Linked DNA regions of Drosophila melanogaster. The protein of the gene in region 2 interacts with the protein of the main gene of each other region in a pairwise test. Each region holds a gene or a part of one and is shown on either strand. Other genes may lie near its edges.

Region 1 (8,802 bases), on a different chromosome or scaffold from region 2:
AAAAATCATTTTTATTTGTTTTCGATATCGATATCGAGAAAAATGTCAAAATTTCAAAATTTCTCGCCCGCTTTTGAAGTATGTACATTGCTGAGTAACGAGTTTTGAATAGTATAGTATTTATTATTTTATTCTCCAATAATAATAACGAGGAATGTGGAATATAAAATTGCCTAGCAACGGAGTTGGCCTGGCCCTTTTCGGCTTGTGGAAGTTTATTAACTTTCATTACAGCACACATTCGGCAGTATGGTGCTTAGTGAGTAATTGAAATTGTAGAATAGTAATGTTAACGTACCAATTAAACTGACTAATCCGCAGTCACCGAAGAGCTGGTCCGCAAGAAATCAGAGCACAATGAACGTCTAATCAGCACGCTGGAAGAGATCTCCTTGCACCAGGAGGACATCGAGGTAATTGAACACATCCAGAACTGGTGTCGCGACCTCAAGATCCTACTCCTCCAATCCAACCTGATTGCGCGCCTGGAGAACTTGCACAAGCTGAAGCGCCTGGAGTACCTCAATGTGGCCATCAACAACATAGAACGAGTGGAGAATCTGGAGGGCTGTGAGTCGCTTAGTAAACTGGATCTTACTTTAAACTTTATAAGAGAGCTAACCAGTGTTGAGTCGCTATGTGGCAATTACAATCTCCGCGAGTTGGTACTCATTGGTAATCCTTGCGTGGATTATCCGCACTACAGGGACTACGTGGTGGCCACCTTGCCACAGCTGAACAGTTTGGATTGCGTGGAGATCACTCCCTCGGAACGTCTGCGAGCGTTGCGGGAACTGTCCAAGAACCGGTCCATCATTGTTCAGAAGCAGGTAGAACAGGACATCGAACGTGATGAGCAGCGTATCCGGGTGGCGAAGCAGCAGTCCGCTCTGGCTGAACATTGTGCCGGCATAGAGGACGAAGAAGAGCGCATAAAGGCCTTTTGGCAGGCGAAGAGCGAGCACTGCCCGGAGATTCGCACAGAGATCGCTCGGCAACACCGATTGGGACGGGAGCGGCACGAAACCAAGTCCCCACTGGACCCTCTGAAGCCACAGCGCAACCTCTTCGCTCCTTGTGGCAGACCCTACAATCTGAACCAGGCCAAACTGCCCTTTAAGTTTCGGGATGAGGCCGACCATTACTTGCTCCAACTGGAGGTGTACAGGTAAGCTAGGCTAAGATGTCTTAACCAAACTTATACATATCTTACAAGTTATCACCAACATATTACATATGTATATCGATATTGGTATTGCTTGATCGTTTCTACGCCCCAATCATATACATACACTTCAAAATTCTTAATTAATATTGCATATGTATATTCCTTCGCCCAGACACCTGGATACCTCTCTAATTGACGTCGATGTGCAGACCACATACACTAGAGTCACCGTCAAAAAAAAGATCTTCCAGATCGCGTACAGCGAGGAGGTCAAGCCGGATGAGTCCACTGTGCAGCGTTCCCAGATTACAGGTCACCTTGTGGTCAATCTTAAGAAGCTAAAAGTTAACGAGCTGCTGATAGCCAAGAAAAGCCCGACTAAAAGGTAAGTTCATCCAGTTCATTGTATATCATGAACCACAAATCCTAGCTACCTTTTCATGTAGCCCTGCCGCCCCTTTTGATGCAGGAAAAAAAGATGGGAAACCGGAGGAAGCGTTTCACGGAGGAGTAGTGGACATCAGCAACATTTGTGCACCCGAAGATCTTCCCGATTTAATTTGAGACTGTGTTCATTATTTAAAAATGGTTTATTTAAATATTTGTCTGATTTGGTTTGTTTTCTCAAACTCCTCAGTGATCTTTTGTTTTGTTTGGTTTTTGTGATCCATCCATTCCATCGATCAATCATTAGCTTTCTAGTAAATACTTTAGCCCGATCGGATGCTCATATATATATGCGCTTGAGTGTGTGTGTGTGTGTGTGTGTGTGTTTGTGTACATATACATTTCATATATAAATGTAACGTAAGTCGGATAATGCAAAACAGGGCACACGAAAATAAAGATTAAATTAAAAATTATATTCTAACTTGGTTTTTTTTCGATTATTTTTTTTACGGAAACCGTGGTTTGCCAAATTAATGAAAATGTCTTCGCCTAGTGGCTACGAGCGTATAAAATATATCCAATTCCAAATTCCATAGACTTGATTTCAGTTTCTTACTCTTCTGCAGCAAACGAAAAAGTATTCGGATATGAGGATATAAATTCCCGTGAAGTGGCCTCTTAAATGGCTATACAAAATCAGGGCCTAAGTTGGTTTTCGTTTAAAATATGCCTTTCATGCTGTATTTACAATACACGATCATCGGGATTATTATTACTGCTATCGCTTTCTGTATACATATTTATATATAAGTTGTGAAATTGCTATAAATTACAAGATACATAAAAAAAATGTATTCGATTTTATCTGAAAAAGTCGCTTTGTCCTGTGGAAAGTATGGGATGTGGTTAAGATTTGAGATTATTGATGGAGGGTCGTGTCTTATCTGAAATGATCATAGTTTGTTTGCTTATTTTCGCTCGTTTGTTAAATGGATATAGCAACAATCTTGTATTCTCTCTCGCTCATATATTTCGGTATTTGTTTTATCTTTTAGTTTGTATCTTTAAATAGTATTGTATTCTAGCTGTGTTGTGTGCAGTTCGTCATCAGTTTCCTGGTTTGGTTTTTAATCTTTAATCTATGTAAGTATTTCGCTTATTTCTTTAATTCATTTCATATTATGTTTGTTTTGCAATTGCTTAAGTCCATGGTTTTGCTTTTGTTTTTCTTTATCTCTTGTTTTTGTCGTTTTTCCGTTTTTTGGATCTGTTACAAAAATCGAACAAAGTAAAAATATTTCGAAAAAGCGTTGTTGCCGGCTACTTTTTTACCTCTCATTTTTTGTTCTCTGTGTATTTTTGTGGTTGTTGCTGTTTTGACCAGACTCGAAAACTCGATTAACAGCATTCATGTTTGAAAAAACGAGGTAGGACATTGTGTTATAATAAATATGATTTCTTTTTCTTCTGCATTCCATTTGGGTTCGTATAAAAACGAAATAAAAAAGATTAAGCGGCTCTAATTGATTGGAGTTTTCGGGGGTGTGAGTGTCGGGATTTGTCAAGTGTGAAATAAACTACAATTATAAAACATATTTTGGTTATACCTTATATAATTACATACTTGTTAGATCAACTCAGCTAAGAATTCTAGAATAAGTGCTTCGTCCTCTTCTCTTTCCCTCAAACTCATATCTTTCTTTTAAGCCCTTTCTCTTTCCATTTCTCTGCCTCTATATCCGTCACTTTCACATTTTCTCTCTCTCGACAGACAGTAAAATTAAACAAACTGCGGACGCGTGTTGACAGAACTAATCCAACTTAAGCTCACTGCTTTCCGCTTCCAAGTTACCAACAGCAAATGTATGTTTATTTGTGGGTGTTGTGTGTTTTTCTGACTTGCTTCTTTGTTGACTGTGCGTTGTTCAGCAATTGCAGTCAGGTGCTTCAGCAAGGACCAGACCAAAAAAAATTACTTAGACCCGCAGGATCTCGCACGCTTTGTTATAGCAAATGGCTATCCAGTCGGGCTGTGTGGCACCCCACTGAATCTGATTGACTTCGCCCTCGGCAGCTGTATAGGCTAAAATTGGATCCTCGATTGCACGTGGCATTTGTTGTATATCCCAGATCAGTGCTTGGTGATCATCACCGGCAGTGCAGATGTGACAGGAACTGCAAACCAAAATACAAATTGTTTAGGCACATTTTAGGTTTAAGGAATCTTATAGTCTCACCTATGCGGCGCCCACGCAATACCGTTGACGCACGCTCTGTGATTGCTCAGTCTTGCAACGGGTGTACAAGGAACACGAACATCTAAAATTATTACTTCGCACGAGTCCATGGCAACGGTGGCTAAGTAGTTCGGGTCCTGTTTGTTCCAGGCCAAGCGCAGCAGCGCCGTATGAGCAGGATCCTATTGGATTTATCGTTATGTAGTCATCCGTTTTTGTGTTTTCGCGCGTTCTACTTACCTCATATATAATGGTCGAGTGCTCCAAGTGCCGCAGATCAAACATGCGCACCGACCCGTCCGCTCCCACCGAGGCAAACATGTCCCGACCGCCGCCGGCCCGCGAAAAAGCAATGTCGTATACTTCCTTGTCATGGGCAATCAATTGCGTCTTCACGTGTCCTGCCACATAGACGCGAGCGTGCGGCTGTCCGGTCTCCAGTCCCCAGATAGTGCAGGTTGTGTCTATCGATGAGGTTCCCACCAGATTGGGATCCACCTCGTTCCAATCAAACGAAGTGAGGGGAGCGCAAAAGTCGCTGTTCTTGTTGTTATTCAGTACGCACTCGAGCCGCGTGTCCGGTTCCCCGGCACGCCACACCCGCAAGTAGTCGCCACTGGTGGCCAACAGATCCGGATAGACACCCTTGGAGTCCGGGATCCACATGATCTTGGTTGTCGGATATGGATGATCAAAGGTGCTATTTGAAGAAGAAATAATCTGTCAGTGAGGAAGGGGATTTCGGAAAAATGGTTCGTATAACCAAATAACTATTCATATTTAAAATGATTACAATAATATCAAAACTGCTTATCATTTTATATTATTTTTTAAAGATAATATACGAAATATAAAATGAAAACAGAAAGTAGAAGGGATCAGCTAAACAAATATTCGGTATACCTCTTAGCACTAAATTCGCTGGTGTCCTCGTCCAGGCTGATGATCTGTACCTTGTTGTTGTACTCCTCGATGAAGCTGCCCAGTGCGAGCCGGAATCGCTTGTCCGGCCTTACACTCCAGTTCATGGAGTACAGTGGCCATGGCGCGAGATATTTGTAGATCTCCTTGCGCTTTCCGGCGGTCGAGGACATAACTGTAGATATGGAAAAGGATCAGCATGAGAATCTAGGACTCGTATTCGAATTCGGAGTCTGGATCAAGAACCCACCTGAACTGTGTGATTGGATACGGATATCCAGACCAAGACGAAGATCAAGACTTGGATGACAAGGTGCTGCTGAGTTTTCTCAATGCCGTTTAGCTGGTGGCCGGCCTAATGACGACGAGCTCCTTTGGTGATGATGACGACAATGATGATGATGGCTGATAATGACCACTCACAGCAGCGGACAACTCAAGAAAACTTCATGGAATGGGAAACAAAGGTCTTTGCTTGCCACTCGCATTTGCACACTTTACCGGCTTGCTTTTCCTTGGCTTTTCCTGTAGCTTTCCTCTTTTCCGAGATTCACATCATTTTGTGCACTGGCAGTATTGCCAGCTCGCCCGTTTTCCGACTAGAGTCCGTCCGTCCGTTTGCCGTCGTTATTCCGGCGAAATTTAGGTCTGGAGGACACCGATCGGAGAAGTCGAACTGTACTCAATCAACAGGGCGAAGGAATTAATTCAACGGCGTGCACATCGCGACCGCAACGCATCCGTTTGGCCAGCAAGTGGAATTGTGCCCGGCACTCCGTATAAGGTGGCAACACTAAAACGTAATGCGACGCGAAAATTCGTTTGTGGCGGTCCTTCGATGGGCAAGCTGCCCCGGTTTTACCTTATAATTTGGTTAAGTTTCCAATCCAACCACAGTTTTCTGAAACAGCACGGTCGGAATTACACGGAATTAGTATTCAAAGAACTTTTAATACATTCTTTTCGACAGAATTTTCACACAAAAACAGTGTGACCGCGCAGATAGCTATAAGAAATACCTTGTGCAAAATCATTGTTATATACCAGATAAACAAAATACTATTTATTTAAAACAAAATTCTGTATTAAATTATATTGAACTGTAATATATAATATTCTAGGCTTGACTTTAGTCTAATTAAGAATTGAAAGTTGTGTGTTTATTTCCACCCAGAAATCTTTTCCCTGGAACTGGAAATATAATTCGATTGGCGTTTTGTGCAAAAACTATTAAGTTTGAAGCATATTTTTCAAATCCCATATGATGGAATTCTGTGTAAATGGAACATTAAGAAGGCCTCTGCTCATCTGTTAGCAAGTACACCAACCATACATGCATCAGGCATAGTTCTTCGATAGTTATCGAAGAACAGTTAACCTATCTTCAAAATCTAGTGACGGTGACTTCGTTTCGGCGTGCGGCCACACTAGCAAAAAAAATAGGATTAAAAAGTGAGTTCTGTGTTGTGCAAAAAAAAATTGCTTTAATTCGACCGGAAAAAGGCCCTTTTGCGGTGCAAAACGATGATGTCGCTTGGCTGGCGTTAAAATTTGTGGGATATCATTAAGAGACGGGACTTTCGGCAGCGCGACCTCGTTCGCCTCGTGATGTTCGTTTTGCGGTCAAATTTTCACCTTCGCCACCCATCCCCTCGCCCATTTGTTTTCTATCTTAGTATGAATTTATACACTTTATATACGCATTTGCCTTTGTACATTTTTTGTGTTCCGTGGATGTATGAAAAATTCCTAATAGCCGTCGTCGTCACTTTTCCACTTTCCATTTTGAGAAAGATATTTCACTTTGCGTAATTCGTACGCTGCCTGGCGCCTGTGTGTGTGTGTGTGACCGTGTAGCCAATAGTGCTACATCGCTCGCGCGCACAATCTCGGCACTGTTTTACTACTACCCTGGCTCGCCCCCTCTCCCTCACACATTTCACTGCCAAACGTACGCGCGTGTGTGAGTGCACCTTTTAAAAATAGAATCTCATTTCGTTTCGTTTTATATATTGTTTTTGCTTTTATCACAATTATTTCGATTTTGACGTGCAAAGAATGTATGAGTTTTGTGTCTAAAGAAAGCGGCTAATCGTGGTAACCGTTGAAAAAGTTCAGCTACACCTGTGGGTACTCGCGTGCGATTGTGTGAGCTTGGATAATTCAATTTTTTTAAGTGAATGTGTGTGAATGGGCTGTAGTGTAGTTGTAGCATTTTATGAACGAAAGATCGATTCGTGAAAGTGTGGCCATCTTATGTTAGTTAAGGCCTACCACCCGCTTCTCCCATCCCCCTGCACTACACCACCCGCAGAGCCTTACACTTGTGCATGTATGTATGTAAAAGCAACGGTTTTCTCGAATGGGAGCGTAGACAGCCTGGCGGCACACACACGAACGTAACTTCATTTTAAGTGTTACCGCATAAGGACAGCCGTCCGCGTCCCACACCGCCCCTACCCAGTTCAGCCAGCCAGCGTCACACTGAAGTTGTTGTTATGGCAAACTTGAAAACGGCTTTTCTCTATTTATTACTATTTTGCGATTGTAAACAAGTGTCGATCGGTTTTCCACTCTCCGCCTAACTGTTCATCAGGGACAAATCGAAGGCCACAAATTCCCGAGATGTGCGTGGGTGTTTTTTGCGCTTGTGAAAAATCAATCGTGGGAAGGGGAAGAAAGACGAGGAGTTCCGCTTGAAGGGTTTCGCATTATCTTATGCAGAATTCAAGATAACCTTGCGCCTGCAAGCCTTCATTTCTCCAATAAGTGAATCAAATGTAAACGGACAAGGTCTTGACAATTTAGAATTGTTTGCACTACTAAAAGTACCGTCATAAAAATGTGGTTTTGATTAAAAGATGTTCCCTCATTAGATCATTTACACTGGGCATTTTCCAATCTTTTGGGTATATTTTTGATAAAGAAGTTAGAATATTATGGTCCGATTAGTATGAGGTTTTGAATTCGAATTAATTTGATAAATAGGGCCTTCTAAAATTCCATTCTTTTCAGTTTCGCCTACAACTTTAGCAGCAACAAGAACGGGTCTTAGATGTAGCACATATGCAGCCATTAAGTTTAAAACTAACCTAATCCTAGGGATATAATGCGATGATAATGTAAATAACGTGACGCAGGTGGGTACATGGACACGTTGACGCTGTGATTTCCATTAATGAAACTGAATTCCGCCGTATAGCCCACGAAAAACAGAGAAAGCGAAGCAAGACCGGAAACAAAACAGGAATCATCCGCTCAGCAATACCACGTGCTGCCAGCAGACCAAGGACACTCTCGACTTCATCCGGAACCCGGGGCTTGATCACTGCCGCTGCTGCCATTAATATGCGTGTAATTGCGCCGCGTAGATCGTCAACGTCAGCGGCGGGCAGCGGCAGTCTCTACGGTACATCGGCGGTCGGCACCTCCAGCGGCAGCACCACCAGCAGCAACTCCACCAGCGGCAGTCACCACATCAGCATCACCGGAAGCGGTGCGGTGGATCGGACCAGCGGAGGCGCCGCCACGAACGGTTACTCCCGCATATCGAGCAGCTACGACCGCGGCAGCAGTCTGTCCAAGTGGCTGCCCACCTCGTCCGGCGGCTCCAACTCGTCGGGCTACGGCAGCAGCTACTATCCCACCTCTTACTCAACGTTCTCCGCCAACAGCGGCTCCTCAAGCGCCTCGTATGCGCCGCGCTCCAGTGTGCAGAGGAGCAGCGTTGGTACCACGTCGTCAACGTCGTATATGAGCGGCGGATCCGGCAGCAGCTCGTCCGCCTACCGCACCTCCTCGTATCTGAGCGGGTCCAGCTATGATTCACCTACGTACAGCCGATACGGAGTGAGTAACACCTTGCTTACCTCATAAGATGTACCTTGATTTACGATACACCCACTCCTGGTCGATTACTCTTAAGTTTGGTGGCTGATCTCTTGGTTTTCAGTAATATCTCTATGCGAATCCTGTATGCTGGGCCCCTGGTATAACTCTACTCACTGCCTTATCCCCGAAATCATCATGTGTTATGTATCTGCATATTTGGTGAATACGCATTTTATTCAATATGAAAGCTCGATA
Region 2 (6,394 bases):
ATACGCGTAATTGAAATTTGTATTTGTGTGGAACGTGTAGGCGAAAACAAAACCTAAAAAAGAAAATCAAATGAAATAGGAGGTGCTCCTCCTTGCTGGCCAAAGACGAGCAAAAAGGAATAGGGCACTAGGAAACTTCGTCCTGCGTCCTGAAGAAAGACCAATTAAGAGCCGCGGCGTGGAATTTTGATTGCGGTTTGCAAATTTCCAGCGCTCCAGACCAGGAATTCAGCTAACGGGCCTCACACGCAGCATGCTTTTGGCCAAAAGCGGAAGGTAATGAAAAATTTCATTTTTTCAACTTCCCCCTCCCCCCTCTTACACGAAACCATGGTCACTTTGCCGCACATTAGAACTGTTGATATTTATTTAAAAACCTGGCCAGCGTTGACATTCAAGTCAATCGAAAAGTTTGCACAAAACGCGAGGCGGTGTCCTCGGTCACCTGAGTCAACAGCAAAGCGGAGTGACTCTCTCCATTTAGCAAAAATCAAAAAAAAAAAAAACAGGCAATGAAATGCTGCCAGTTACTTTTGCCAAGGAATTCCAAAAAAGTTCCATGAACCAGTAAATAAATGGGGAAGCAACGTAGCACTGAAAAAAAAGTGTAGTAAAGATTTTATAACTATATTTACAAGGCAAAGGTTCTTCATAAAAAGAAAACTTTTGTAAATGCAAAAAAGCATTGTAGAGTAAAAAACTTTTTTTTTTAATAATTTACCTCAACTTTCTAAAATTTAAATACTGTTTACCTAACTGAACTATCTGCATATCAAATGGCCTATAATTTGATTAATCAAACACTATAGTTACCCTAAAATGCTTTTTAGCCAGCTTTGATTGGCATATTTCATAAATTCATATGCATATATAAATATCTCCATAAAAAATGCAATAACGAAAAAGGGTAAAAAAAAAATGCGCATTTCAAATTATAAATTCAAATTCGAAGAATTTAATCACGTATACGAATTTTTCCTGTGCCACAATACGAAATAATAAAAGTGCCTCAAAAACTTTGAGCCCCTGCCCCGCGAAACCAGGACCGCAAATTGTTTAAAACAAGCATTGAACAAAAAACTCAAGAAGCAACACAAACAGGCGGCTCAATTCCAGGAATAAAGCCGAAGGACATTGAATAAACTGTACGGTGAGGAGGTATGAGTGGGATGTGGGGACGGTAGGGCAATGGGGGACGACACTTGGCATTAGGGCCCAAACTATACAGCCAAGGCCAAGTTTTGGGCCAAATCTTTGTGGGGAGTGGACCAACAAACGAGGACGGAACGACCATCGGCATCGACGGCCGAAAGGCAATGGAACCGTAAATTCTATTGCATGACTTGATTAAATTCGCATGCAACGATGACCGTCGACCCCGAGTCACCCACAACATCGGAGTCCGCCGTATCCGCCGAAGCCTCTGAGTCCCCCATTAAAAAAAAAAAAACCCACCTCCGAGCGGGTCAAGCAAAGGCCAGCGACGTTGCCAACTATGCCATAGCTGGAATTTCTTGGCTATTTGCTGGCTGCCTTGGCTTCTGTTTTTGCTGGCTGCTGGATTTTTGCCTTTCCTTCGACCGTTTTCTCATTTTAACGTTTTAACGTGACTTAATGAAGTTTCAGTGTCACAGCAAAATCTGCTCCTGCTGCTCCTGCTGCTCCTCTCCGCCTGTTAATTTTATGATGGATTTTATGCAGAGCGCGCCAAAGAAAACTTTGAACTTTAATAAGTATGTGTATGCAGGCATTTAACTTTGCCATCGTTTTGTCGATTTTTTCTACTCACTTTTTTTTATTTTCTGTTCTTTTTTTTTTTAGTAGATTTTTTTCTTTACACATTTTGGCCATGTTAAGCTGGGTGGCTAGCTGGCTGGCTTCTTTTCTATGGGAACTTTGCTAAAATATGCTTCACAGGGCTTGAAAGCATTTGAAGTAATGAAAAAGAAGCGAAAAAAATTGCATCCAACAAGTATAACACACACACTCTCGTTCCAGGTGATATGGATGGGGAGGTTTAACTGTACAGTGAAGCTGCGCAAAATTTAACGAAGCTTAACCTCATTCAATGTGAAAATACACTTTACTTGTACTTTGCGCTGTTATTTCAAAAGTGCGGTGACGGTGGGCGTTGCTGCTAACGCCGCTCTAAGGGGGCGTGGCTAAGGTGGGTCTATATATATACAAATATATATATATATATGTATATAGAGAAAGGTGGCGATGCGAACCTGGTGAACTTTGCAAACTTAAATGCAGAGCAGAATGATGAATGATCCAAGGATGCCAGGCTAGCAACGAAAAGAACTCGCTCTATCTCCGTTTTTCGCCGACTTTCCCTTGATTTCCCGCCAGAGGCAACTACTCGCAGAGAAAATCACAAATATAAGATTAAAATCGGAAAATAACACTACAATACTTTAAACGAACTACGAATGGCAGAAAACACAAAAATGGTAACTAAGGTATAATATATCTATGTATCACATATTAAATGTATCTTCAATTCTACAAACCTGAATATAGAAATATTATAATCTTATATCAACTATTTTGCTGAGTGCACTATAAAATCGCTGAGAATGCTATTCCCGCAAAGGTTCTTTAAAATTGAATCACTTTAGACCCAAAGTGCATTGTCAGCTTTGAGTGAGTGAAGGCGTGGCTGGTAAATTATGCAAGAGCAACGATACCAAATGTCGTCGAATGCATCCAGATGAAAATTGAAAGTGCTGCAATCCGAGATCTCAGACGCGTTTCAAATCTCCGGCGATTGCACTTGGCAAAGACCGGACCGCAAGCACATGAAGCGCACGTCACCATTTGTGCAATCAAACATCGGAATGGCCGCGACATTGACCGCAAGCTGCCACACAGTGTGAAATCCGATGCGGCTGGGAGCCAACCGGTGCACAGTGGTTACAGCTATGTTGAAAATTATCAAATATTATGCTAGCTTAAAAAGGAAGCAATATTTATGCACTCAAAACAAAACTTACTTAATTTAATAACTTCATTTTTACCATTTTTATCACATCCACAATAGATTTTCTTTTTTAATTTTTGAGCCCTATTAGACCACAGTGCATAGGTCGATGTGCATTGCGGGCTAGCAATTGCGGTATAGCTGCGTATTTTGTGATTGCGAATTGTGCGGACAGCGGATCGCCGCCTCACTTGCATCTGAAAGGAACAACCAGAAAGGGACTATCTGGAACAGTTGGTGTGTGCCGCCGAGTGAAAGTGAGTGCCTGGGCATGGGCTTCCACTTACACAATCCATGGTGGATTGGCCAATGAACTTGAAGTGCCAACGAGGATATCCAATTACAAGTAGAGCGCTCCAAGCATTTGAAGAGTGTGTGTGTGCTATAAAAACAGCATCGCGATGTCACAAATTTGCATTTCAAAGCGGAGCAACACCCACGCCAGCTGCATCCAAACACGCACTCCGTTGGCGGATTGGAACAAAGGATATAGGACACAGGAGTTCAGGATTTCAGGACACACACAACCACCCAACGTTATGGGGCGGCCAAAATCCGGCCAAGGCTTTGGGTCACCTGCCACCAGTTCATTAATGATCTATGCATTAATGTGGCTCGCTTTGGCCATGACAATGGAGGCCATAGATGCCCCACTGCCCCTATCCCTGGCGGAGTACCCGCTCGGCCTGTCGCTGGAACATGGCAGCAAACACCATTACCAGGATGCGGGTGTGGACTCGTTGCCGGGATTAACAGGATATACGCGAAATTATTATGGCCCCACTGACACTGCAGCCGGCGATGACTTGGCAACATATGGAAATTATGCTCACAAACTCCTGGCCGCCACCCATCAACAGCACCATCGCCATTCGCAATCCTCCCTTGGCACCACGGCCAATGGCTTTGTGCCCTTCTACTACAACAGCAAACTGCACTCGCCATTCACCGCGGATGAGGAGCCGCGTCGCGACCCATCCGCCAATATCGATTTTGTCATTAATACGGCAAATTATGAGCCAAATTCCGCTGGCTACGATGTGGAGCCACATCATGGGGAGCAGCACTACGAAAGCTATGCATATCGGCCGCGGGTGCAGTTTGCCACATCGCTACCCGGTCCCAGCGATTACCATTTCGAACAAATTTCCAATTACCGGGAGAATCGCCAGCGGGAGCAGGAGGTGGAGCAACATCAGCAGCAGCAGCACCAGGAGCAGGAGGATATTACTAGTATCTATGCGCGGCTCAAAGAACTCCAGACACCGGCCAATCCAGTTAAGCGTCAGCAGGAAGAGTCCCTATCGAGTCATCATCCAAACCGGGAGCAAAGCCAGCCACTGGAGCAGCGACATTATCAGCAACCTGAAAGCAGACAGCTGCAACAGCCACACTTGCAACAACATCTGCAACAAAAGCGGCCACATGCGCTGCAATATCCTCAGGATCAACGGCATCACCAGCGCCTGGGAGTTGCCCAGGACCAGCAGATGTTGTACTCTCACAAGGATAGCCAGATTGCAGATCTCCCAGCCATAACCACCAGTGTGCACCATACTCCGGAGAGCAGTAAAGCGGTAGCCGGATTGCCGTTGGCCAAGCACATCGAGATCACTAAGAGTGTGCCCATCACCCACTATCAGAAGCAGCATGTGCCCTTCAAGCAGAACGTCCAGGTGCAAGTGCCACGAACCGTGATCGCAGCCATACCCAAGCCCATGCCCATCAAAATACCAGTGGCCCAAACGGTGGCCGTGCCCCAGATGCAAGAGGTTAAGATTCCCATCGAACGGGTGAAGCCGGTGCCCGTGGAGCGGCCCATTCCCTTTGTGGTTGAGCGCAGGGTACCCTACCGAGTGGAGAAGCCGGTGGTCTCGCCAGTTTATTATCCGTATCCGGTCAAAGTGCCAGTGGTGCGCACGGTGGTGCACAAGCAGCGCCCCCACTACGTGGCACCCGGCTGGAGTGCCAACGGCAATCATCTGCTGGGATGAGTCTATCTTAAGAATAAATTCTTAAGCCAGTTTTATACCCTTGCAAAAGGGGTTTTTTGATTTGTAAAGTAAAAGTACAAACTGTAGGGTAGTCGATAAATATATTTTTGGTGGAATGTTCTTAAGTTGAATTAAATACATTTATTAATTTTTCATGTTATGCAGTTTGATTAACGGCTAGAGTATTTCAAATTCAGCTTATGCCTTAATTTCTAGTGACTGAACCCCAAAAAGTAATTGCAATTAGCAAAACAAGAAGACAAAAAAGGCCACCGACAGCAACTGCAGTGTGGCTGCAAAAGCATCCAGCATGCAACTCCTTGATCCCAAATCCAAGTTTCTAACTCCCAGTTAACAGCTACCAAACAAAACAACACATTCGGAGTCGAAGTTGAAGTTGGAGTCACAGGGCAGGTCCCAAACCGAAATGAAGAAAAGTAGCCGAGTAAAACTTTTTAATTGAGCTAAAATCCAACAAATGCGGCTAATAAATATGTATTGAAGTGCGATGGGCAGAACGAGGCTGAAGTCCGGTTGCAATGCAAAAGGGGGCTGCAGCGAAAGTGCAAGAAAATGCAGCGGCTAATTGCCAAATGTAACTCCAGTTGAAACAACTTTTAACTGAAACAGCAGAAGGAGCAACAATGACGCACAAATAAACGCGACGTTCAACTTCGCCGAGGCGTTAACGAAACAGCAACAAAATTAGCCAAAAAGTAAAGTTCCAGCAAGGGTCGCGAAAAGTCGGGCCAGTAGTTTCTGGTTGGGGAAAGTGCTGCAAGTTATTGCCGGCTAATGAAATTAGCCCTAATTGACGTGGGAGCCATTCGACTCCATTTTTAGGGAGGCGAAGTGAGGAAGAACTCCGCACCCACCACACACAATATATGTAATATTCGGCAGCAAAGGAGAATTTAAGGAAAATGTTTGGGGAAAAATGAGTTCAAAGATTTGGGGTTTAAAGCGCTTTGACTACTTACTTAATACTCATTACTCAGCCACCTAGCGGTAGACCAACAAACCTAAGCTTACTGAGTCCTTCTTTTTCTTGGGAAAATTAAACGTTGGAAAATAGTTGCATTACTTTTCTAGCTGTGTACTAAATTTTGTAAATTCAATTCGTTGCAGGCCACATTATTAGCATTTATAAGCCACATACCTATGCTGAGGAAAACCGCAAAGCGACGGAAACCAACTAAAAATCAAATATAATAAGCATGCGTGCAAATCAACGCTTTTCCGTGAATCCCGCTGCTACACATGTAGTTGTGCAGTGGGTATGCAAATAGTAAATGGCGCTTGCAGCCGAATAAATGTGCATAAATTCATAATTGCACTGCCCACATTAACCGCTTCGTTAGGAATTTTGCTCATCTGACCACTGGCCACCACAGCCGGCGGCCGTTGGTCCCGT
Region 3 (6,029 bases), 5.1 Mb from region 2:
GATTCCTCAAAGAACTCAGCGATTAAGACGGAAAAATGTATTCCGGGCAGAAGTGGGGAGCCGACAAAGTCACAAAGAATAAAATTAGCTTATGAAACAGCAGCTGCTGGGCAGCCTTGAACGAAAGTTGGTAGACATTTCCAGCACCCAAAGGTGTTGACGCAGATTGAAAGGAACTCACATAACAATCCGAAAAAAGAATAACAATTTAAAATAACTCAAAGTCTAGATTCTGACGCACACGTATGCAAATTTGCCAATTCGCAAAAAAAATCAACACTGTTTAATCTATTTTCGTTAAACTCCACGAGTCTCTTCCAATGGACACGATGCGAATGCCAAAGGCTAGTGAAAAGATTCGCAGCAGAGCTGGGCTCGCAATTCGAGATCTCTCCTCAGCTCTCTACACTTGAAGCAATTCCCAAGATCGACTAAATATTTATTTTTGAATAGGTTATTTTCTGGATGTTTTCTGTAAGTGCAAGTTACGTTTTATGAGAGCAAGATTTTATTGAAGAATCAGCAAACAAATTTGCAATAAGTCTTGAGTTTAAAATATGCGATAACATTACTTGTATCATCAAAATAAAATACGTTTATATATTTACTCCGCCCAGTTATCTTTGAAACTTTAAAATAATATATATTTGTAGTTTGTACATTTTTGAAATAAAAAATACTAACATTACTAACAGAACGTTTTATTCTCAGTGTGCTTGCGCTCCGTGGCACTTTTCTCTCTTCGCTCCCACCACAGTTAGAACAAAACTTGAAATTTCGCTGACTCCGCGAGCTCAGTGGAAGAATTCACAAATTGCAAAAATTTCAATTCAAGGTTGTTGCTCTCTGCGGCTGCGATAACTGGCAGGTCGGGTATTTATTTTCCTCTGTTGGCTTGTCAAGTTCTGGCTTCTTATTTCTGCTGCTTTGCTGGCTCGCGTCATGTTTCTGGCTAAAAGATACTGACTGTGTTTCTGTTTCTTCTTATCCACAATCAACAAACATTTCTAAGGGGCTTTCAAAAATACTGGGTTACGTGATACTGGGTAGATGAATAATCCGTATACAGCAAATCTTTCCAGGTTTACTCTATCTACATATAACTAACTCTTGATTTCATTTATTAACAAATGTAACCATTTTTAGTGTTTCCAACTGTTGTATTGCGACCATTGTGACAATTTAGATGGTTCATAGCATCTTCACTACAATTTATGAAAGTTTTTACAACTCCAATTGTCTATTATCTAGTCCTATGAAACCGACATTCATTATTACGGATGGGTGGACTGACCACAAAGTTAAATTAATATTTAATGGCACAATGGAAACGGGTTTCCGTCAAACAAATCGATGGCGTTTAACGGAAAGTAAGTAAAGTCCGGGCTGCGGATTCCGATTCCGTGAGTATAGAGGCGGGGGAGGAAGAAGCAGCAGAAGCGGTGGCGGCAGAAGAGAGCCAAAGCCAAAAGAGAATAAAAAGCACAATAAAAACGCCGGTAAAGGTCATCAACCGGAAGAAAAGCGCCCATGTGTGCGTGAGTGTGACTGGCCAGTGTTTTTGTGTGAGTTTTTGTATAAACGAGTGTGTGAAAGTCGAAATCTTGCTGCCAATTATCATTATGACCATCTATAAATAATTATGTATTATGGTCGAACAGCATGCAAAACACGCTGGCTGCTCGGCCTCGTTACAGCCAACTGACAAACTGGCAAACTGACATCGAACTGCACAGTTGGCCTAATTTTCCCGTTTTTCTTTCTATCTTTCTGTGCCGTTGCTTCCCTCCCTCCCCCTTTCTTTTGCGGCGCCCCAGTGTTCAATTAGCTGCCTGCTCACACACACACTCGCACTTGCTGGCACATGGAATTTCTCCCCTGTTGGTGAGCCCCGGCCAGAAATGCCAAGTTGACCATTTTCTGGCCTTTGAAGGCAGCGTGTTTGAAGTGGGTCAAGTATTCGCCAATGCGATTACATCTCTTCAAATGGAAATAAAAAAGTTATTGATCCTCGTAACTGTGTATAATTATTAAAGTCCTTATGCGAATTATAAATGTCTAGATTTGTTTCTAAAAAAAAATTGTTTTTCATAATCAACTTACATATCCTAATAACTTCTTAAAACTGAAAACTTCCAATCTATCTAAAATTTAACCGGGTTCTCCATTTTATATTATTTTTGTTCTTTCATAAAAAAATAATTTGAAATTATACTTTTACTAGCTTGCTTTCGCAGCAGCATCACTGATAACGGTGCAAGTGCTTTCCTCGCTCTCTCTGTCACCGCTGAGCGAGAGCGTACTCGCACTCATTCATTATTTTTCATCTATTTATTCATAAATGCATTTTTTGCCCCTGCTATTTTCAGCGGCTCAAGAGTTTTAATTTTAGAAAGCACTGCTCCCTACTTTTCGTCTTTTTCTCCCGTAATATTTATGCAACATGCAATGCTGCTTTATTTATCTCTGTGGGAAAGAAAGCGTGGCATGTTTTTTGCGGTGTGTGGTGTCTTCTTGTTATTCCTGCGTGGGAGCGTCAGGTTCCAAGTTCGTTTCCCTAATTTTTTCTTTTGGTCCACAGATGGAAGGTTGGTCTAAAATGTGGAGTGACTCATAAAGGCTATAAATAGGCAAATTGATATTGTCTAAAGCTGGCGGTTAATGATTATTGATTGCTGACGTAGACGTCGATAGCATTTGTTGATTGTCAATTGGTTTTCCCCGATGACGAACGATTTTTGAGTCTATGATTTATTGGACTGCAGCTGCTCTGCTCCGCTCTCTCTTTTGAGCTCTGCTCCGCTCTCGCTCCTTTGATAAGCCCGCATATGCTTATGTGTGTGTGTGTGGTGAGGTCAGCGCATCAATTATGCTCATTTCTTGTCTTTTTCTTTGATAAAATCAGCGAACAACAAATGGGAAAGGGCGGGGGCAGGGCCCCGGCCAGACGGCGGCGCCCGAGATTTTTGGCAAATCAAAGCAGTCAGCTGTCCCCTTTGCTCATAATTAAGCAATGGGGAGCAGTGAAAGTGTGTCGACTACTAATTGGCACCTTGAATAATTGCACACCGATAAATAAAGTAGTGGCTTCCTTTTTCCTCTCAAGACAAAAGGGCGTCGCACTGCACTTACACACATACATGTACACCGCTCTCCCCTTCTTATCTCCAGTCTCTATACTTCTAACGCTGATTTTCAGCCGATTTTAAGCCACTTGCAACGTCAACAATTTTCACAACATTTCACATTTACAATGCAGTCTTTCTTTTCCTTCTTCTTTTCTTTTTGTTGGAAACGCATCCGCCATTTGCAAGCCACTTGTGTATGTGTGCCGGAGCGCTGCGCCTGTTTGAGTGTGTGTGTGTGTTGGGTTGTCGCGTCGACAGTTTTTTCATCACTTTGCTTGGATTTAGATACGCTTTATCAAACCAGTTCTTACTTGCAACTGTTAAACTTTTTCTCAACTTTCTTATGCCTTTCGGCTGCGGACTTACACTTTTTCGTTAGTGGGAAAATTGAAACATTTGCAAACAGAGTGACCGTGGCGACATACTCCAAAAATCGCGCCAGTCACATAATAGTCCTAAATTTGGACAACTAGCGATGACTCAAGCCGCCGGATAAATGCGCTATGTTTTTGTAGCCGAGACACGCTACGTGGGGAGAGCGATGTTTTTATCGTGGACACAAACCAAATTGAAATTCTTCACCGAAGATTTTATCGCGACTGTGCCATGGTCGCACTGATTAGCTCACCGAAACGTTCATTGAATTTGTTTTGATTATCTCGAAATAACAAGCTATTTTCTCAATTTTCCTGACAAAAATGACATCGATTGCCAAGTCCATAGTACTATTGGCATCCCTGGCCACGTTCGCTTACTCCCTGTACGTGGTTGGCAGCCTGATGATGTTCCTTTCGACGCCTCGTTCGATTTCCAAGGCGCACACCTGGATTTTCAATTTACTGGACAACAAGTCGCGCCTGCAGACCGCCTATGGACCCGTGGTGTTCGATACCCTCTACCTGATCGGATTCATCTTCCAGCACAGCTTCCTCAAGTCAGCCGTGGTCAAGAAGCTGTTGGCCAAGTTGGGATTGTCGGGTGCGGAGCGCACTATTTATAGCCTGACGTCATCGCTTTGTTTACATGTTTGTATACCCACAAATTGGACAGAAATAGCTCCCAACTGCAACTTTGGACATTTCAGTATTTGATCGTCAACTGGCTGCCCGCTCAGTCGATTGTTCTGTGGCAAATCGATGTGGAGCAGAGTGCTCCGCTTTGGTGGACCTTCGTGATCACCCATGGCATCTGCTGGGTTGTCATCTTTGGCGGCAGTTTGGTGATGGATCTGCCAGAGCTGCTGGGCGTCAAGCAAGCCTACTACGATCTGAAGGCCTACGGACCGCCCATCAGCTACAAATCCGGGGAATTGCGCAATCTGTACGCCCATGTCAGACATCCCTCGTTTGTGGGCCTGTCGGTCATCCTGTTCGCCACGAATGTGATGAGCGTGGATCGGCTAGTCATGGCCTTGCTGCTGACCACCTACATGTACCTGGCCTGGTCCACAGATCAGAAGGATGTGGCCTATCAGAAGATTCAACTGCAGCGCAAGAAACTCGAACTGAAGGCCAAGTAAACTTAATCTCAAAAGTGTTCTTACTAAGATCTAGTTGTAAGTTGACATGAGTTTGTATTGAATAATACTTTTCTAACAATTTCAGTTTCCGAATCAGAACGAAACAAATAATGAAAAAACTAAAAGATATATAAAAATATATATGGTTCAGTTTTTACTATTTTACTACTATTGCTAGCTTAATTAATTATTTTAAAATTTAACTCATTCTTACGATAGAAGGATCAAAGGGCTGTCCTTTAAACGGCGAACCTTCGGCATCCCAGGCAGCTTTCAGGCGATCCAGGTTTATAGCTTGGTCGGGACTTGAGGTCTGAATTTCATTTTGTTGCTTGTCTGCTGCCAACTGCTGGACCCTAAGCTTTTCTATGGTGGCCTGGGTTTCCTCCGGCAAATCATCTATATAGCGTTCGCATTCAATCTTCTTGGAATCGATTTCTGGATCACCTTCGAAGAGCCGATCCCACCAGAGCTCCTTTGCTTTATCTACAGTTATATACAGTTTATGAAAATGGTTTATAAAGATGTTTTAGGTGAATGCCCACCGTAACTTATGATCAATCGGTTCTGATCAATTGTCCACACCGCCTCCTTGTGTTTAATCCGCTGGCTCAGGTTTCCCTCGAGGATGATCGTCTCTGGGCTATGCTTGCTGCTCACTTTGATGTGCTGGGCCTGAATTGAAATGTGCAGCTTCTTCGCCGTTTGATGATCCTTGGGAAGCAGAGCCTGCACCTCCACATCCTTGAGGGTTTGTGACCAGCAGTGCGTTTCGAACACATCTCCGTTTTTGTAGTCGCTGGGGGAGAACTTTGACTGCTCCTTCCCTTTTTGTGGCGGCTGGCTCTCTATGGGTTTCATTTCCTCGTCCTGAGGACCATCTTCGCTTTCCAGGACCACTTCTTCGACGGCAGGCGGAGCCGTTTCTCCATCATCTGCACCGCCTTCCGCGGTCAGGGATTGTAGCAAGCAATCCGGATCGTAGCGCTGCATGGCGCCATATAGAATCTGATCCCTCACGCCTTTGGGGAAGCCTATTTTATCCGCTTCATCGCGTTTTGTGTGATAAAAGTCGGTGCTAAAAAGGGAAGTGGGACTACAGTTTTGTTAAGGATCTTGAGATAAAATCTTTTACTTGCGTCGCAGAAATCCGAAAATGGAGTCCAGGAAACCTGTAATAGTTTTCCGATCCTGCAGAATTTCCATGAGCATAGCATCGTTTCGCTGAAAGTCCATTTTTGTAAGAATAGTAACCGGCCGCTTTTAACTTAACATCTAATGTTCACGTCTATCGATAACAATGCATTTAAATCGGCGATAGCTATTAAAAAGATAGATACATATTAAAGATTTTAGAGTGTGGTCAACATATATAATATTAA
Region 4 (10,417 bases), on a different chromosome or scaffold from region 2:
GCTTCGCTACAACAGCAAATAAAAACCCTGGAAAAGGAGGCGGAGAATACTGAACATAGAGCCGATCTATGCGATGCTGAATGTGATTTTGGTGATCTAGATTCTATTGATGAATTGATGAATAGAGTTCAGGCTGTCAAAAATAAATTAAATAATTGAAATTCAAAGATAGTCATGATGCTTTAAAGCCAATATAGTAATAATACCATATAATATTAATATATACTAAGCATTAATTTAAGTACTTGCTTAATGACATTTTTAACATCGTTAAATATAATTAAGCTTTAAGAACATCTTTTGTTCATTTGTGCATAAGGATCAAACAAACGCAAAGTAAAAACAAATTTCAATACATCTTAGGTCAAACCTATAAACCTTTACTTTAGAGTTCCTAATCGGCTTCCTCGTTATTGCAATTTGTTGTTGCATTAAATGAATTAAAAATAACACCCCCAAAATATAGTTTGATTTTATCATGAAACCTGCTTACGTTTTACTACCAAGATGAACGTGTCAGCATAGCCCGCTTCAATTTGAAAATTCCGCTCAATTTTTGACATTTGGCAACACTGTATTTTGGCTAAAAAAATAATCGACGAAGTCGATAGTCCCAACAAGCAATCGATGTTTAAAAAACATTGGCGAACGAGTTGCCAGACCATTGATTTTCTAGCACGTGTGATACATTCATTTAATTGTTATTTTTATGCAGCTTAACTTGCTATTTGGACCATTAAGAGAATAGGAATGCGTGACAACACACCGCCACACCGGCCAGATTTCGATGACGGCGACGACGAACTCCAGGAGATAATTGAGCTGGAGGAGCAGCCGCTGGACGAAGATGACGACGATTTGGAGGAGGTGACGCTGGAGCAACTGGAGGCCCGGCTTGCAATGGCCGGTGGCGATGATGATGAAGAGGAGGACGAGGAGGAGCTACGTGACCGTGAGAGAATAGCAGCCATCACGGACGAAGCTACGGTCACTTTCAAGAAGCACACCGCTCCTGTTTTCGCCTGCAGTCTGCATCCCAACTACAATTGGGCGGTGACGGGCAGCGAGGACGATCGAGCTTTCGTTTGGGAAACCTCCACCGGCGATGTCCTCTACGAGATCACGGAGCACAAGGACACCGTCACGGAAACGCATTTCAGTCACGACGGCGTCTATTTGGCCACCGGTGATCTAGCCGGCGATCTGTTTGTCTTCAAGGTCAGTGAAAAGCACGACGAACGTCCGATCCTGACTAAAATCTGGGAGTACTCCATGAGCGACATGTCCTGGCTCTTCTGGCATCGAGCTGCCCACATCCTGCTGGCGGGTAGTGACAGCGGAGAGGTCTTCGTTTTCCGCATACCCAGCGGTGAATGCAAAATCCTGCCGGGACAATCTTCGCGTTGCGAGTCCGGAGAGCTCAGTGGGGATGGCAAAAAGCTGTTCACGGCCTACGTGAACGGATCCGTAAAGCTGTGGGATCTCAAGAGCTGTCAGGTGCTCATTGACGTAAACGAATCGCATCCAATGGGTTTCGGCGAGATCACGCACGCGGTGGTGGCCTGCGAAAGGGAATCGCCCTTCTACGTCTGCGCTGAGGCGTCCGGTGAGTGCTCCAGTGGTAAAGGAATTCGGTATAATACCAGTTTCCATAACAAAACTATTAGTAAAAGCAATCATGTTCTCCATTGCATATAAACGGCAACTAATAGATTTATTTTCGTTCAGGAAAAATGCTGTTCTGCACTAACAACGGTCCGGTTAGCACAATCCAGTCGGAACACGGAATTGAGTGTCTGGCCTTTGCTCCCTCCTCGGCGGATCTAAAGCTCTTTGCCTGTGGCTCGCTGGACGGCAGGATATCCATCTGGGACTATGCCAAATCAGCGTTGCGTACCATATGCGAAAATCCAGTTCCCAATGATGCTGTCATAAGGTGAGCACCGCATAAAACTGTAAAAAATATTATAACTTTGATTTAACTTTTAATTTGGTTGTTGCTTACTAATTGCATTAATTATTCCAGGATCAAATGGTTGAACGACCACACGATACTTGCGGCCACCTCGCAGGGAAATCTGAACGCATTCGACGCACGCACAGGAATTCTGAAATTCACGCTGACGGGACACTACTATCACATCTACGAGTTTGTCTACAAGCCTCAGGAAAATCTATTGCTAACGGTATCCGAGGACAACACGGCCAAGATATTCAAGGTGCCGGCGCTGGGCGATTAGTTAGGTTTTAAAGTTTTGTACTGTGCTATATATATGTAAATAGTAAATACATATTAAAATTTATCTCAGTAGCCTGGTGCAATGAACCCATGTGGCGGTCCTGATACACTTGCCCCATATATGTACAAGAAAAAGGGGGGAGGCACAGGGCTGACTAAAGATAGAACACACAAAGAAGGTTACAGTTTGGGGTAACAAAATAGAACTGAAAAGGATTCCGGTTTTTTTGCATTGTGTCAAGAATATTATACTATTTGAAGTTTTTGTAAATTGGTAAGGAAATTTAATTTCATGCTGTCAATTTGGGTTAGGAAAAGAATTATTGTTTTTTAACTTTTTAATGGGTCAGAACTATGGTTTTAATCGGAAGCGTATATGAGAAGTAAGTGCATTCTAAATGCAACTGCAACGAATTCTCTTCAATATCTGGTTCTCTTAGGGAGAATGTGACATGCGTATTGCATTGGGAGCACATCCAAAGAGACAAACACTTGTTTATGTTTTTGTTTGTCGGTTGTCGTTCACCTCCGACATCCACACACATACACGCACACAAAGGCGAACAATTGTCTAAAAAATGAAAACGAATTTTCAGATTTACATATTTATTTACCTTTCTGTTGTATTATATTATTAAAGCTTTTTCGGAAGAGCGACCCACGGATGGAATTCTCGACTCAGTCTGCATCGGGTTATCAGTGCGAATGGGTAACGGTTCTCCCTCTATCGGGTAAAAAAATAATGCTGAAACGGTTCAAAACGTAGTCTCCCAGGGATTTTAACTGCGTGAAAATATCATAAGCAAATATTTAAAGCGCAGCGAGTGAATATTTGAATTACATTAAATTTAATAAAGCAATAGCACAAAGTTCTGCAGCTATAAATAAAACTTACAATGTTCATTCGCAAGTTTGAGTACATTTATATTACCCTGTGGAATGGTAATCACGAAAACTTATGACTCGTGGCATTATATGATGAAGCCTCACCGAAATATTAACGAAAATTGCATATGGAAGTGATCCATCATATTTTTCTTTTTCAAAATATACACATTAAGTGCGGCGCGGGGGAGTTAAAAAAAAGTAACAAGAAAGAAAGGGTTAATTTTGAGTTCTAAAATTGGAATACCCTATAAAAACTATGAGAGAATTTACAAATCCTGTGCAAAAGTGATCATATCCGATTTATTAAAATTACAATCAAATTGAAATGAAAAATTCAAAAATAGCAGAATAAAATAAAATTAAACTTAAAAAAGATCATATATTTTAAAAATTAATCAACTAGTTAAGACATCCGTCTGAATAAACATTGAAATCTGATGAATCAATAGATGTTAATGACATGTATATGTCCATATCCTTCTTCTTGAGCTTATAGCTAGAATACCCTCCGAAAGTGTATTAAAGCTGATATCCCGCAGCTACGAGGCGACAATAAAAGTCACACGAAATCACAGTTAATCAACCACAAACGGGGGCCCGAACTGATCCACCGAAAGCACTGTAATTGTGGCTGTGGCGACACCACCACACCGGCGAATAATACAAAAAAAAACAGCGCCCTGTGTGTCTCTTTTACAATTAGATTACCAGAGGAGCTCTACGTATCCAAAATGATCCCATCCCGCTGGCTGAGCCACTAAACTGAGCGGAGGCGCTACACTTGCTTTGTTTATTATTTGTAGTAGTTTTTATGGCGGTCGCGAGGGAGGTAAAGATGGGCAGCTGCTAATCCATATAGCCAGTCAGTCGGTCGGGCACTAAAGGTTCACGATTCACACAATTGAATTATCACAGTTTGAAATGTCAAATGCACGCGCCTGGCGATGATCCATACCCACCCCCCACCCCACAATCCACCAACGAAACTACACTTCATGATAATCCGCTCAAGTGTTTAACAAAAGTCGCTCGGTTTGCATTAATGAGCATTTTGGCGCATAAAAGACCGCCGAATCCATTGGAGTAATCGTCGTCAAATGAGCAACAAAAGAAGCCTTATATTAAATGGGGTCTCCGTTGGGTAATCTAACTAACTAATCCGTAACTCTCTTCAGCTGCGGTTAGCCCCATAAATCTCCATACACAAACGGCTGTAAAATTAATTGATATTTGATTTACAGTTACAGTAAAAGAAAAAAAGTATTAGATTAACTGGGATTGCGGCTTCTTATCAACGACTTCCTCATTTTTGAAGTTACAATTTTACCGGAAATCGCCGCGCATACAGTAGACATTGCCTAAGGGATACATATACAATATTTCATATATACATATTTCAAACAAATATTCTAAACTGTCTTAAAATGATCATATATTAGCCTGATTTGCAATCGAACGATATTAATTGTATTGTATTTAGTTTACGGTCATCTCTCCTATCGAAAGCTTTTATTCCGTGTTAACACAATGTGACATTTAACCTTGTTACAATTATTGTGCACACAAATAGTTTGTGGCAAGTTTCACTTGCAGTATTTGTCCCACAAAGCCGTTAAATCAGGTGCAATTAAAGGCTTAAACAAATCATTGAGCTAATGTCTTTTGGCACATGGGATAGCCAGTGACAACAAAGTGGCTAAAGATTTCGACAAAATGCGCACATATTTAGGACCCAAACAAAAGGTCAATGACTAAGGCGAAAGAGAAACTAACTTAAGAGATTGCCGGCGACTCTCTCTTAGGCGACCGCACGTGCTTTATTTTTGGCACACAATCGTAAACTTCTCAAACTTCTTTGGCTAGCGAAATGTTTGAGGCGTCTTGCATCATGCGATTTGCCGCATGTTTCGGTGGAAAGTTGGTTTGGCAGGTAACAGGTAAGATGTTTATGGCCCAAAAGAGCGCGAGAGAGCAGCAGCTGCTTTCCGCGCCGCCTTACCTAAATGGAATAAAAAAAAAAACCAGTCAAATGCAAAGCCCAAGTTGAGCGAGCGACAGCCGTTTTGCTCATAAAGGGGGGTAAATTCGTATTCCAAACTTAGTTTGAACTCAGAGCGCGTCGCGAGCAGTGCGTTCCATCCGATATTCTGTCGGATCTTCCGGTTTTTCGGTTTCCCAAATTTCATAATACCCAATCTCATCTTGATTCGAAGAGATGAACATGATAGAACCACGTGGATTCTAATACCTTATCGTCTTTAAATATATAGAGCGAGCCCTTGACAAATGTGTGCGTTTGTGTACTGAAGCGCACATTGGAATAAGTGAAGTGGTGAACAAAACAGAACTGAAATCGGAAAACAACAGAAACAAATGAATAAAACCATGTGGACTCAAACGAACTGAACTGTATTGGAAGCTCCACGCTGGCACATGTCTAGCCTGTGCTGATAAAAAAAAAGAAAACGAAACCGAGAAAAGTACGAGAAACCCCCGATAAAAGCAATGGACTTGTGTACATAACGACGGCCAGTCACTGTAAATCGGAAGAGTTACCCTATAAAAATCATAAAAATTCAAAAAATATTCCGTATTCCAAGAACCACCCATAAAAAACGCCGCACATCTCCCGAGCAAAAAATGGCGCGAGTTCAGGCCAGCGACTCGTTGATTCCCCGCCAGGTGTTCGAGGTTCCTCCGGCGGAACCCAATAATTCCACGGCGGACAGCGGCAGTCAGGGTTCCGGGGTAAAGCTAAAGAAGCAGATCGGCCTGCTCGATGGAGTGGCCATCATCGTTGGTGTAATTGTCGGATCCGGCATCTTCGTGAGTCCCAAGGGAGTGCTCAAGTTCTCCGGCTCCATAGGACAATCCCTCATCGTTTGGGTCCTCAGCGGAGTGCTCAGCATGGTGGGCGCCCTATGCTACGCCGAATTGGGTGAGTAATGCTACATGTAAGGGGTAGCTTTAGGAATTTTTCGGTTTTTTTTATAGTTTTTGTTTTTGTTTTTCCGATAATGAGCCCACGCCTATTCAAACAATGTTCTGCGGAGCTGGCAGTTATTGCTTCCCGCTGATGACAGCAATCGGTGGGTCAACATATGGTATGTGTGCGTGGATGTAGTGGGAGAGTTGTTTACATAGGTGTAAGACAAGCACCTGTAGCAAACACAGCACAAATTTGAGAAAAAAATGGAACAAGAGCTCTGGTCGCCCAGAATGCTTAAGTCAGTACTAATGGGCTAAAGAGGTTAAGGCCAGAGATAAGCTATATATATCAAGCACCAAAAAAATCAGTTCAAGATTACGATTTGAGTATTTTAAAATAAGTTTAAGCAACATGTGGTACTTAAAGTGCTACAAATAAACAGCACACAGTTTTTGTACTGTAGAAAGAAACAGGAAAATTCAGCTTATTTCCAATTAAAATCGGTCCAGATCCAAGACCCAGAAGCGGAAAATCTCTATGACCTTTGGTTCGAACTGACAATCTTTTGAGATTAACTACTCCAACCAATTACCATGGAGACACATTTAAGGCATGGAATTAGCTCGGTCCCATTAAAAATGCCTCTTCAAGTGGCACACACAAAAATTAAAATCAGTTCCAGCTCCCCAGCAAAATGATGAATTAGAATTGATAGTGGGACCGACGAAACATTCAATTATCAACTAATTAGCACTTGAGCCTCTTCAGAAAAGTACAGGATGCTTCAAAACTTGGAATAAGTATATTCATATTATCGGAAATACAGCGAGTGTTCTTTGTTTCCTGGGGTAAATTCAAATGTTCAACCCTCTCTATTGAAATTCACATACATATATAACCGAAGGTATAAATTTACCTTTTCAAGATCTGAAAACAAATAGAAACTTGAATGGAACTCTCTTAATATCTTTGATCCACAACAAAACTTAAGAGAATCAAAGAAAAAAGTCTTATCGCTTTTTCTCTCCTTTTACGTCATCTTTGCTTATGGCTTTGTAATCATTATTAAAACACGTTTTTTTTTAACAATCAGCCAGGCAGACACTCATTACCATACATTTTCGGCAGACACAAATTAGCATAATTTTTAAAGTTTGCTTTTCGAAATATCAATGGAAGTTCAATCTGATCTGATCAGAATGTTTGAACATATTTTTGAAAATCAAATATTTATGCTACCTTTTTCTAACTTTTCATGTCAAACTATTTAAGTACTAAATAAAGTTCCATAAATCTTAATGAAGTGAATGGACAGAGCAAATAAAATAAAATTATCACCAATTACTAGGATGGTCGTAAAAAATGGAATAGTTAGTACACGCTTTTTAAGCGTTTCCAAAATTTCTCCAATTGCTGGAACAACCCTCCTTAGATAGGCAAATGCATACCTCAAAGCATTTTCAGAACTGTGTCATGCTTATCAGATTGTCAACGTTTGCTCTCTATTAGCCTAATCACTTTTTAAACATTATTCTCTTGGGATGTTCCCCGTGAACTACGCCGTAATGAGCAAATTTTCTTCTATAACTAATATTTTAACTTTTCCAGGCACGATGATACCCAAATCAGGCGGAGATTATGCCTATATAGGCACTGCATTTGGTCCTCTGCCTGCGTTCCTTTATCTGTGGGTGGCCCTGCTGATCCTGGTGCCCACGGGCAATGCGATTACGGCTCTGACTTTTGCCATATATCTGCTGAAACCTTTTTGGCCTTCCTGCGACGCGCCCATTGAAGCTGTTCAGCTGCTGGCGGCTGCCATGATATGTAAGATTCGCTGATAGCTAATCGGTGGTGAGACTAGGCATAGACTATATTGACTAATTGCTTGATCTTCCACCCTAGGTGTGCTGACGCTTATCAATTGCTATAATGTTAAGTGGGTTACGCGTGTGACGGACATCTTTACGGGCACCAAGGTGGTTGCCCTCCTGGTGATCGTTGGCGCCGGAGTCTGGTGGTTGTTCGATGGAAACACAGAGCACTGGGATAATCCCTTCTCGGGAGGCCTTCAAGATCCTGGATATATAGCCCTGGCCTTCTATAGCGGCCTCTTCTCGTACTCCGGCTGGAACTATTTGAACTTTGTAACAGAGGAGCTCAAGGATCCGTACCGAAACCTGCCCAAGGCCATTTGCATCTCAATGCCGGTGGTCACGGTCATCTATATGATCACGAATATTGCATACTTTTCGGTTCTCTCGCCAGACGAGATCCTTTCGTCAGATGCAGTGGCAGTCACGTTTGGCGACAAGATGCTGGGGTATATGTCCTGGATTATGCCCTTCGCTGTGGCCTGCTCCACTTTTGGTTCGCTGAATGGAGCGATCTTCGCGTCCTCGCGACTTTTCTTCGTCGGTGCAAGGAATGGTCACCTGCCGGCCGCCATTTCGCTGATTAACGTTAATTGCCTGACACCTGTGCCCTCGCTGATATTCCTGGTAAGTTAGAGGCTTAACCTAAGTAAAGAATCTATAAATATTTGTTTTTATCAAATTATCATGTTCTTTTCTTTTTTTAATTTCCCAGGGCGTGCTCACCTTGCTGCTGCTGTTCATCGAGGACGTCTACGTACTAATCAACTACGTCAGCTACGTGGAGGCGTTGTTCACGCTGATCTCGGTATCCGGACTGCTGTGGATGCGCTACAAGCAACCCAAGACGGAGCGACCCATCAAGGTCAACTTGGCGCTGCCCATCATCTATCTGATCGTCTGCCTGTTCCTGGTCATCTTCTCTTGCACGCAGACGCCATATGTGGTAGGAATCGGGACGATCATTATACTGTCTGGAATTCCGGTCTACTACCTGACCATCCACAAACCGGTCAAATGGCTGGCGGACACTTCGCAGGCGATCAACCTGTGGTGCTCCAAATTCTTCATCTGTATGCCCAACCAGGAGAAGTTCGACTAGGACTGCAGGACTCTACGACTTTGGGAAGAGAGGGCCTTTTGTGGATGTATCGATCAACGCAACTATAGAAGGGAATATCTTGTAGTTAGGATAAGTCTCAATTTACCCCTAAGATAGGTTAGCAACGCGAAATTTTGAAAACCTACGCACAACATTACAAAAGTGTTATTGTAAATAACTCAAATGCATTCTGGTAGGGAAGTCCCTGCTTCAATTAATATTATTTGTTAGTCGTACTTTTAATGTATATTTCAAACCCAAAAAAAATGAGTTCCTCGTCGAAAGCAGAAGTACGCCTGTTATACAAAATGCGAACCAATTTTTACATATTATACAAGTAATTAGGAGCTTATTCAGTAAGTAATAATTATTATTGATGCAACTTTTTGCGAAATGTAAAAAATCGAATTTGTTTTGTATAAGAAAGTTAATAATAAACACATTAAACTTTAATCTTATTACTTTTTGTGAAGTGGGCGGAAATTGGCATTTTAAAGGTAAAAAAGTAACTTATATCATTTCGCATGGTATCTATTTAAAGTATCATAATTATCTACCACAATATTTATTAATTTTTTTAAATATTTTCATTTTCTAGTTATTTTTCCTACTCCAGCGAGTTCTAAAACTCACTACTTGATGAAAGCGCCTTTACAACGCCTTTAGGTATGCAATCTTTTTCTTCATAGTTACAATCTACCGGATAGTTTTTAGTATAAAGTATTGTTGCTTAATAATAACATTTAGCCAGATTCTTAAGATTATGAAAGGAAAGTGTAAAACTTTAGTATTTTCAATTTAAAGGCTGAGTACACTATTTAATGTGAGTTTAGCCGATGAACAGGTTAATCGACTTTATTAATTTTTGGCGCTCAAATTTGATGGTCCGGCGAAAGCTTTTCCAAAGCTCAATCCAAATGACAGTTAAGTTTGTAGCGAGTGCGCAGAGCGATGAGTTGCCCGCCCAGTGGGCGAAGGAGAGAGGGAGAAAGGAGAACGCGCCGACGCTCGTCGAACCGAAAGTCGTATAAAACGTTGCGTGGGCGAAACTGTCATTTCAAAAGACCGTTGAACGGGATCGGTAGTTGGCTGCAGTGTTACGGATCGCACGCGTCTGTAAAAACTCGAAAAAATCCCGGTGAAGCCCCCAGTGAAATGACGAGTGACCAGTAGATAACCGGGTTCAATAAAACGAATAGAATAAAACGAAAAGAGAAATACTATCTACCACCACCTGAGTGTTCAGTCCATTACGATGGCCCAAAAGCAGGTGCTAGTCTTAAACCTATTTTGCCTGGGCTCACTATTTTTCAAAACAGTGCCAGCTTCCACGGAATACAACAAATACGTGGCGCAGATATTTCAAAAATACGGCAACGGCGGGA

The links.
Region 1: the proteins of CG13840 (region 2) and wap interact in a two-hybrid assay, tested with the Drosophila melanogaster proteins (one large-scale study listed by BioGRID).
Region 3: the proteins of CG13840 (region 2) and CG7655 interact in a two-hybrid assay, tested with the Drosophila melanogaster proteins (one large-scale study listed by BioGRID).
Region 4: the proteins of CG13840 (region 2) and mnd interact in a two-hybrid assay, tested with the Drosophila melanogaster proteins (one large-scale study listed by BioGRID).

What each region holds. Positions count from the first base shown.
Region 1 is NC_004354.4:22,449,696-22,458,497, forward strand, and holds wap (wings apart), read right to left. Parts: upstream 5,728-8,802; 5' UTR 5,579-5,727; exon of another isoform or gene 5,365-5,578; 5' UTR 4,967-5,364; intron 4,892-4,966; 5' UTR 4,890-4,891; coding exon 4,699-4,889; intron 4,496-4,698; coding exon 4,036-4,495; intron 3,978-4,035; coding exon 3,796-3,977; intron 3,734-3,795; coding exon 3,535-3,733; 3' UTR 1,750-3,534; downstream 1-1,749. Other genes in the region: tilB (touch insensitive larva B), read left to right, coding at 250-259, 322-1,168, 1,341-1,553, 1,615-1,732.
Region 2 is NT_033777.3:22,813,223-22,819,616, reverse strand, and holds CG13840 (uncharacterized protein), read left to right. Parts: upstream 1-3,438; 5' UTR 3,439-3,579; coding exon 3,580-4,980; 3' UTR 4,981-5,134; downstream 5,135-6,394.
Region 3 is NT_033777.3:17,678,963-17,684,991, forward strand, and holds CG7655 (uncharacterized protein), read left to right. Parts: upstream 1-3,706; 5' UTR 3,707-3,826; coding exon 3,827-4,153; intron 4,154-4,212; coding exon 4,213-4,647; 3' UTR 4,648-4,811; downstream 4,812-6,029. Other genes in the region: CG31251 (uncharacterized protein), read right to left, coding at 4,847-5,133, 5,193-5,725, 5,783-5,883.
Region 4 is NT_037436.4:14,982,185-14,992,601, forward strand, and holds mnd (minidiscs), read left to right. Parts: upstream 1-2,915; 5' UTR 2,916-2,970; intron 2,971-5,227; exon of another isoform or gene 5,228-5,397; 5' UTR 5,398-5,767; coding exon 5,768-6,065; intron 6,066-7,664; coding exon 7,665-7,883; intron 7,884-7,961; coding exon 7,962-8,557; intron 8,558-8,645; coding exon 8,646-9,032; 3' UTR 9,033-9,483; downstream 9,484-10,417. Other genes in the region: CG3349 (uncharacterized protein), read left to right, coding at 1-159; CG5114 (uncharacterized protein), read left to right, coding at 751-1,666, 1,729-1,936, 2,027-2,240; Zip71B (Zinc/iron regulated transporter-related protein 71B), read left to right, coding at 10,288-10,417.